Linked DNA regions of Mus musculus. The protein of the gene in region 1 interacts with the protein of each later gene in a biochemical or structural test. Links are inferred from orthologs where the notes say so. Each region holds a gene or a part of one and is shown on either strand. Other genes may lie near its edges.

The links.
Region 2: the proteins of Gnaz (region 1) and Rgs20 form a complex in vitro, tested with the Homo sapiens proteins (2 studies listed by BioGRID, with this or other methods). The link is inferred for Mus musculus from reciprocal best matches to the Homo sapiens genes GNAZ and RGS20.

Annotation. Positions count from the first base shown.
Region 1 is NC_000076.6:74,965,726-74,969,976, forward strand, and holds the start of Gnaz (guanine nucleotide-binding protein G(z) subunit alpha), read left to right. Parts: upstream 1-1,451; 5' UTR 1,452-1,657; intron 1,658-1,697; exon of another isoform or gene 1,698-3,385; intron 3,386-4,251. UniProt on the Homo sapiens protein: Guanine nucleotide-binding proteins (G proteins) are involved as modulators or transducers in various transmembrane signaling systems.
Region 2 is NC_000067.6:5,016,456-5,021,028, forward strand, and holds the start of Rgs20 (regulator of G-protein signaling 20), read right to left. Parts: upstream 3,085-4,573; 5' UTR 2,925-3,084; coding exon 2,856-2,924; intron 2,280-2,855; exon of another isoform or gene 2,121-2,279; intron 1-2,120. UniProt on the Homo sapiens protein: Inhibits signal transduction by increasing the GTPase activity of G protein alpha subunits thereby driving them into their inactive GDP-bound form.

The DNA.
Region 1 (4,251 bases):
TGGTAGTTGCCAGTGTCAGGTCCAGCAGACCCCAACCAGCCCAGGTAGACTGTCTAGGGACTAGCCTCTGCTCCCTCGCCAGGAATATTGTAAGTTCCATTGCAAATTCAACTGTCAAATGTAATTCCTACATTGGTTTTACCCTCAGCAGAAGGATGAACTCTGCCCCCTGAACCTGCTGCAGAAACTGCCTCTGCCCAGCCTAAATCACTTGCTAAGGTGTATTTCCTACATACATTAACCCTCTGAAGAGTCGATAGTACAGTTTTTGACAGATTAGGAGACTGACTCTCAGCCAGGTTCCAGTGACAGACTGGCTGCACAGCCGGATGAGTTGGTAGAAATGCTCTTTAGCCATTAGCAAAAGTCCTTCGGTCCTTATTGGTCACTGTAGCAAGACAGGTGTCTTGACTGGCTTCAGTAGTACCCATAACCAGTACCTGGTCCCATCCCTAAAAGTTTAGGCAGCCCTTTCACAGGTGGGCTGTCTACCTGGGGTATGCAGTACAACAGTCAGCCACTGCACAATTGAGACAATCCCACGGAAAGTGGTGTGATGTTGTCCTGCCTCTGGAGCGTCTAGCTGGCAAGCACCAACATTATCGTCATGGCTCCCCATCTCATCCTGGGCTCTAAGGCACATATGCTTAAAGTTACAAGGATGGAGAAGGCAGAGAGGCACTATTGTGGTGGCACCTGGCCTGAGTCTTTCTTGTACAGGAGTAAGGTACTACCAGCCAAGACCCACAGACGGACTCCTCCTGATGAGAGTAGAATCTCACAGCTAGGTTCGTTTGTCAAAGATCTGATGTCTCCTGGGGAGTTTCCAAAGAGGTCAGGGGCTTCATTGATCTGGGACCCTTCGGCTTCTCTCTGTTGCGGGGGTCGACTCCCAGAAGTGCCCCTACATGCTAAAAAAGGAGAGCAGAAGAGAGGGCGAACCATATGCTGCGAAATCTCTCCAGCTTAACCCATCAGGGTTTTCTCGCGCCCTAAAGGATTATTGACATTATCCAAGGAAGCCTGGACGACAGCACCTTGCAAAAAGACATTGTGGGAGAATAGGTTGCCAGGGCTGAGTTCGAACCCCATTTGAGGTAGGGCAGGAAAGCCAGCGTGCAAGGAACCGGGGCTACACTGCTCTGAAGGTGGGTTTCCCAAGATGCTAGAAGTAGCTTCGGGAAGGCTCGGCGCAGTGCAGTGCCACAGTAGCTGGAGCCAGCAGCGCGTGCGGTAAGGCGGCGCGCGCACAGCCGCGCCCCTCCCCTGTCTGTCGTTATTGGACTACTCGCACGTCCGTCGGCAGTTATCGCCCAATGGAAAACGAGCCGGAGCTAGTGGTCGGGCGGCAGCGCGTGGTGCGGGGCAGACAAGCGGCAGACCCCGCCCGCGGTTGGCCTGGCAACGGACTGCGCTCGCGACTCCGCCCCCTGCCGGCGGCGGCGCGGTGCGGGGCGGGTGGACCCGCTTGCAGGCGGCGCGGGAGGGCGGAGGAGGGAGCCAGGGCGGCGGAGCGTGTGTGCCACCCGCGGACCGGTCACGTCCTCGCGCGGCCGCCGGCACCCGCTTCGTGCAGAACCAGGGCGCCACAGCCCTACGCTCGCGGCCCCGCCCCGCCGGGTGCAGCTCGACCGACGCACGAAGCCGCGCCCGGGAGGTGAGTGAGTGAGCGCACCAGCGGCCCCGGCGCGCACAGCTGAACCCGGGGCTGGGGGCGCGGCTGGGGCGCACCCCACCCCCACCCGGGTCGGGGCCTGGGGCCTTTGTGCTGGGGACCCGAGATCTATAGGGCTAGGGGTGCAGAGGCAGGGATGCCCCTCCGGGTGGGAGAGCCCGCTAGGGGTGGGGTTGTCTGCTAGGTGGGCAGGGGGTGGCTATGGCCCAGACAGGTGCCTTGGGAGGGAGGAGCGGCGGCCCAGTAACCCTTGGAAGGGGTGGCTGCCACCTGACGAAATTGGGCAGGGGGTGCAGAGGATGATGTGGGACCACTGCACGCCCTGAGCGGGTGCGGAGTGCAGGCGGGCGATCTGCAGGAGCGACGCCAGGCGGGGGGTCTCTCTCCGGGGGTCCAGGGGTACAGGCAGCCGCAGGTGTCAGGAGCTTGGCCTTGGGTAAAAAAATAAAAAAATAAAAACGGGAAGAGAGGGCCCTGAGGCCCGGTACAACAGCTCGCTGTTCTCGGTCATCGCTCTTGCAACGGAGCAGGTTCCTTGGAGGCATTTGGAGCCAGAGATGAGTATCGACCTGCTGCGATTGTAATGTGTTCCTGGCTCAATATTTTTTCCCTTAAAAGGCGGTGGGGTGTTTGGGGAGGGGTGTGAGGGCCTCTGCTCCGGATCCTGCGGTGAATCTATGGGGGCTCTGCCTTTAGGGAGGTGCTGAGCCTATCTGGATGGAGGATGGCAGGAATCTGCCTAGGCCGAGAATTGGGGATCCTGTTACAGAGAGGAGGATGGGAAAGCAATGCCAAGTGAGACCAGGGTTCCCTGGAGTGTGAGTCTCAGGGTGGAGGGACCAGCCTGGTAACGATGTCGCCTTGTCTGTGGAGGAGATTGGGGCAGGACCCTGAGCCTTGACACTCTTTTCTGCCCAAGTGGTTTCTTAGCGCTGAGAATCATCATCTAGGTCTGCTAACCTGGCCCCTGTCTAGAGGAAGCTGCTTGGCCAGATTCAATTAAGCAAACATTTACTGAGTACTGGCTCCCCTAGGGCTTGTGCTAAGGTGGAAGGGTGGGAGTGGACTGGGCCAGCCCTCCCAGGACTGATTCACCTTCCTCAGGGGGAAATAGGGCTGTGCTCTGATAACCAGGCCTTCCTTCGGTGCAGTGCAGGGGGGCTTGGGAGGGGCCTGGGAGAGAGATACCCCGGGCTCAGGTCAGACCTGCCTATGGGCAATGTAACGTTTGAACTGGAGCTTGAAGGACACGGGCAGGGTCAGAATGGGCAATGTGGGCAGAGGGAAGAGAATGAATGGAGAGGCCCAGGAACTTGGGCAGCTGGCTGGGTTGGGAAGGAGCAGGGGAGGGATATTGAGGGAGGGAGGAGTCAGGACATGGATGAGGGAGGGGTGGGTGAAAGGCCAGAAAAAGCACAGGAAGGGAAATGGACAGAGGCACACCATGGCTGTCTGACCATGTTTGTGGGGCTGTCTCGGTGGAGACCACAGCCTCCGTGTCTATAAAAGGGAAGGTTCTGTGACCCCTGGAGCGTAGTTGTGTTAGAGAAAGAACTTCAGAGACCAGAGAGGGCTCCTGGCCACCTGGGACTGCCCTTGCAAGGCACCTTGTTCCTGGCAGAGCCAAGGGCCCTGGGTAACCAACCCACCCAGCCCCCTGCCCAGCCGAGATGAAGTCACCTGCTTTGAAGGAGACAGTTTTTTTAGCTGGTGAGTCTGGAGTTGGGAAGTTTTGGAAAAAAAAATGACTCTGGTAGGAAAGGCCATTGAGGGGACCCAGGAGGCTACAGAGGGTTGTCCCGTGCTTGGATAAAACAGCGCCTCTTCCATTTGCCTTCTCTAGACATGAAGAGATGCTTGCATTTGCTGTAAAACTCTTCCTGTGTGTTCCTCTAACAGATGCTTTCCTTTTTATGAGACAGGCTGTGAATAGACATAGTTCTTCCCCCATAGAAGGCCGATGTCACCTTCTGCCCTAGCTCTAGCTACTCCCTTCTTCCCAGAGATGGTTTTGGTTTCTCTCAGAAGGCCTGGTTCTTACTCATCCTGGTAGTGTGCCCACCATCAAAGATAGACATGTGCACACACACATGCACGCACACACACACACACACACACACACACACCCCTCCTCCACACACATACACACAGGATATTGGCTGAGGCTCAGGGTGCCCCAGCAAGAACACAGCCCACCTGCCCTTATAAAATACATGGTCTGTGCTTCTTGCCTGGCCCAGTCCAGGGACCTGCCATGGAACTCAGGGTTTGAAGCCTAGAGAATAGATTCTTAATTCTCTTGTCCCCAACCTCCTAGACCTTTTGGTACCTTTGGATTAAAAAAAAAAAAGTATCTCATCTATACCTCAAGAGATCCTGCGGATCCTATGGGGGGATCCAGCAGTATCTGGATGACTAAATACAGACACCGCTACCAAGATGCCCCTGCAGAGAAACTGCTGAGAAGGAGTCTTCTTGGGGGAGTGTATCCTCAGTCTAGCTAGTCTGAGTGCTCATGCGTGTGCACGAGTGTGTGTGTGTGTGTATGTGTGTGCACGCGCGCGTCCATGTGTGTG
Region 2 (4,573 bases), on another chromosome or scaffold:
TAGCCTCACGGCTGTGAAAGGGATCACAGATTCTCAGTGTAGTTTGTCAGAGCTATGAGGAAAGAGCCAGAATTCTAGTCTTCCTTCAGCCGCTCACTAGTTGAAATCCTAAACTCTCTGAATGTTTCCTCATTTGTAAAATGAAGAAGGTCGAAGAAGTAATCATAATCATCCTATATTTTATATGATAGATAGCTTTTGGGGTGAATTGTTTAGTATTCTTCAAAATGTTTCTTAAATAAAAGATCAAATACCTCACTTCAGTATTTATATTGGCTATTTTATAAATGCCATGATTTAATGTGTAATTCTTTAAATGTATATTTGGTCAACAAAAGGAACTCTTTTCCTGATTGTCTGAGACAAGGTCTCATGTAGCCTAGCCTGGCTCTGAATTTGCTATGTGAGGGAGAATGGCTTGAGCTTCCGATCCTCTTGTGTGTTGGGATTACCTTCATGGACACAACAGAAGTTTACACAGCGCTGGGGCTGGAACCTGGGGCTTTGTGCATTTAGACAAGTGCTCTATCAACTGAAATATATATCTAGCCCCCATAAACCCAACTCTTTAAAGCACTTAATCATTACTATTGGGATCTTGTTTGTTTGCTTGGTTGTTTTTGTGTGTGGTGTATTGGAGGGGTGGTGAAGACATGGTTCACAAGGAGGTCAGAGGACAGGTTTGTGCAGTCAGTTCTTTCCTTCCACATTTACATGTGCTTTTGGGTGCCTGGATTTAAATTTAGGTCCTCAGGCTTGCACACTAAGTGCTTTACCTGTTGTAACATCTCACCAAATCCAACTCTTTTTAAAGAGAAAAGTTCTCTTCAAATTATGTTAGATGCTTATATGCAAATATCTCTTATTTATCCACAAAGGGTCCAGGGATAGAGAAATGAATTGTATTTAAATTTAGGAATTGAGAGAAAACATTTACTGCTTCATGCTTTTGATACCAAAACCCTTTTTAGTGTGTAAACATATTGTTTATAGCATATGAAAACAGGCATCATGCTATTGATCTTTATATTCCTTTTTTTTTTTTGAGAAAGAATGACAATATGTAGCTCACTTGATCTCAAGTTCTATATTTTCCTTCCCTAGCCTTGGGAGAGCTGGGGCTAGTGATGCATCCATACTTATATGTTCATAATGTCTTTAGATTTTGAACTCCACTAGGCCCATGTTGCATCAATATAATAACAGTAGGAACAGATTTTTTATTTACAAATTTTATATCTATGCATGAGTGCCTGCATATATGTGGGAACACTACAAGTATGCCAAGTGCCTGCTGAAGCAAGAAGAGGAGACTGGATCCCCTAGAACTAAGGCTACAGGTTGTTGAGAGTACATTCGTTTAACCCATGAGCCGTCTGTCTGTTCAACGATTTGACTAGTTTTTACATAGCACGAGCCCAGAAATTGTGCTGTATTAACCTGCAGTGGCGAGTGGGCGCCAAGGCCATTCAGCCAGCTATCTGGCTGTGAAGTCTTGGAAACCCACAAGAGGGTGGCCTAGAACACAGTCTCTGGAGAGGATTTCCTTTCCAGCACTCTCAGGACAGAAACCCTCCTGCACCACCACTTTCTTCACGCTGTGGCTCTGTTCTCCACCTGAGGGCGCAGAGGCAGCAGTTGCTATGGCCAGAACCCCCTTGCCCGCTTTAGCCCCACGTCCATCAGCAGTTGTGTGAGTGTGGCTAGCTAGCTCTTCTTGCCCAGGTTTTGCTTGCTGCTTATGGACTCGAGGAAGATCCTGACCCAGCCCAGCCCCAGAGAGCCCACCTCTCCCGCGCTCCACCTTCACACCTTCAGACCTGCGCGGTCGCAGCGCCTGTACCCTCCCCAACGCCCACCTTCGGTCGCCCACTCCCTAAGTGTGGAAATCCTTCAGCGCATTGAAACGTCTCCCCAAACACCCACCCCACCCCCGCGTGTGCCGCTTCCGAGGCCTCTCCCTTACCCACTCCCCTGAAGCAGTAGGTGGGGTTAGCCACAGATCTCCGAAAGAGCACACCCTTGTCCCAGGGAGCTGTCTCCCTTTAGGCTCCTTGCCAGCCCAGTTTCCCCAAGTCTGAGGGCACCATCATACAAAGACCCGACTCCCCATCGCTCACCTCCGCGCAGCCTCTCTGCTTCCTACCCGAACCTTCAGTCGCTGCAGCCTCGGCACGTCCTCGGGTTCCAACCTCCCGAGCCCCCCGAGTGTGGGAAATCTAGCTCCCAGGCCCGATAAGGACAATCCCCACCCTCTCTCCCTTAAGTGACTGTTCGGTCTACTCAGTTGTCTGGTGTTGCTGCCCGCAGCGCTCCGGGCGCGGTCTGAGCGCCTACTTGAAGCTCAGCTCCGCCAGCCGGCCTGTGATGCGCTTCTCTGAAAGGGAGGTAGTGCGTTCCGGGAGTGTCACCTCCTCAACCTGCGCTCAAATTGCCCGCCCCGGGTCCTCAGACCGAGGCGCATCCTTCCCCCAACTGAGAGAGAGCCGAGACTCTTCCACTCGCTTGGGCTCTCCCAAATGCTTGGCATGTCTGATGTGCACTTTAGACCTTAATGGCATTTTTCGTCCCTCGCTGAGTCTCAGAGTCCGGACCACCTGCTTGGTGGGTCTGATAATAACCGATCACAATGGTTCGGAGCCTTCCCTCAGACAATGAGATGTTCCGAACTCACAACCCACTCGCCTCAACTGACTAACCCTAAGGGCGATGACCAGCCAGGGATTGCACCACCGGGCAAGGAGAGACTGGCGTCCCAGGTTCCTCGAGCTCCTTCTACTGCCAGGTCCAGGGCTTCGGGGGGGGGGGGGGGCAGGGAGTCAGAGAGGAAGACGAGGAGGACGCCAGGTACTTACCAGGCCAGGGTCCGCTGGGCTAGCCGAAGGGGAAGCTCTGGCCCTCGGGCCTCCGTTGGCCGTGCGCATGCGTCCAGAGTGTGCCTTAGTTTTCTTACACTAGTCAGAGCGGTTCCTACTCCGCCCGCGCTGGCTCTCTGCCACCCGCCCTTTCCTGCGTTTCTGGGTCTAAGCTCCGGAGCTCTTCTCTCTTCCTCCTCCTTTCCCTTCTCTGACTCCTCTCCGCCCCGGCGCTCGCTCGCTTTCCTGGGGCAGGGCAATCCCCTGGCTCGCCTCCTTCTGGCGGCAGCACGCAGCACTCGGAGGCTGGGGGTACTCCCTAGTCCCAAATCGGGCGAGCGGAGCCCCGGTCCTGGCTCCTCTCTTATAATCGCAACGAAATAATGGGTGCGGCGGGAGCGAGCTTTGAGGGTGCCTGTAAGGCCCTTTCTCTTTATCCCCTGGCCTTAGCTTGCGGGGGACGCCGTGGGGTGGGGGCGATCCAGAGTTTGTGAATGAGTACTGGGGCCTTGTGAATGAAGAGATGCTTGGGGGTACGGGGAAAGGTCGCGAGAGGAGCTGGTGCTTTGTACCCCGGGTCTCGCGCCTGTGAACTGCCCGCCCCTGCTGGACAATCCCCACTGAACCCTTTGACCTCAGCGCCACTAACATCCGCCCCCAACTCTCTTTGTATAGCCTTTCTAAGAGATCTGTTCTCCCACTCTAAACAGTGGTCCTACTCAGTTCCGGCCAGCCAGCCAGAGTCGGATGGCCCCACCTGGCGATTGGGATGGCAGGGTGGAGTGTATGTAAGAAAGCCTAAGCCGGGACTCCGGTCTCTCTCAGTCCCTCGGCAGTCTCCCTTTCTTTTGCGACTCAGGCGGTGGGAGGGGAAGCCCCGGGCATTTGCAGAACCTGGCGCCTACCTCTGAGGATGCCCCTCGCCCGGGTCGCCGCAGCTAGCGAAGTAACCCTTGAAGTGAACCCCTGGGGCAGTGCGCCTGAGCTCGGAGGGCTAAACTCAAGCAGCAAAGTGACCTGACACAAAAATAACATCACGTCATTTCCTCCCTCTTCCTGGGAAGAGGAGTGGGGGCATGAACGCGGCTGCGAGCGGTTACAAAGTGCGGGGATGCTTGGGGAGGCTCGAGGGGAAGCTGCAACTACAGTTGGAAAAGATCTTCGGAGGCGTCAGAGGGCTTCCTCTTGCTTCCTAGGATGGTAGAAACAGAACAGATCGCTTGGGAGAAAGTAGCTCTAATGCCTCGGTGGAGGTGGGAGTGTCCGGGAGCCTCAGGTGCCCTTTCCTCCAGTGTGCCCAGCGCTGTGCCAATCTTTCAGTATCCAGGCCAGCCCGGGTGGGCTGGGTCAATCAGGATTAGAGCGAGTGGGAAAGGCTGGGGCCTCCAGAAGCCGAGGGTGGGTTTAGTGGAGTTCCCAGTACTCACGGACTCGGGTGAACTCTTTTCAGTACAGGCGTCCTCTCCTCTGGGCTCCGAATTCGGACTTGCCAGCTTCAGTAGACGACCCCTCGGACGTCGTCCTGGCAGTGCCATTGAGGCCACAAGTAGGAACAGGAGGCGGTGGGGCTCTGGAGAGAGCCAGGCAGTAGGCCAGGAGCTTGGCTGAGAGGGAAAGTCCCTGCGCCCAGGCAAGCCACGGGAGGGGGTCGCCGCAGAAGACACAAGAACAGCTGGAGAGCAGGCTAGAAAGGTGGCGAAATGAGTCGACCCGGTGGA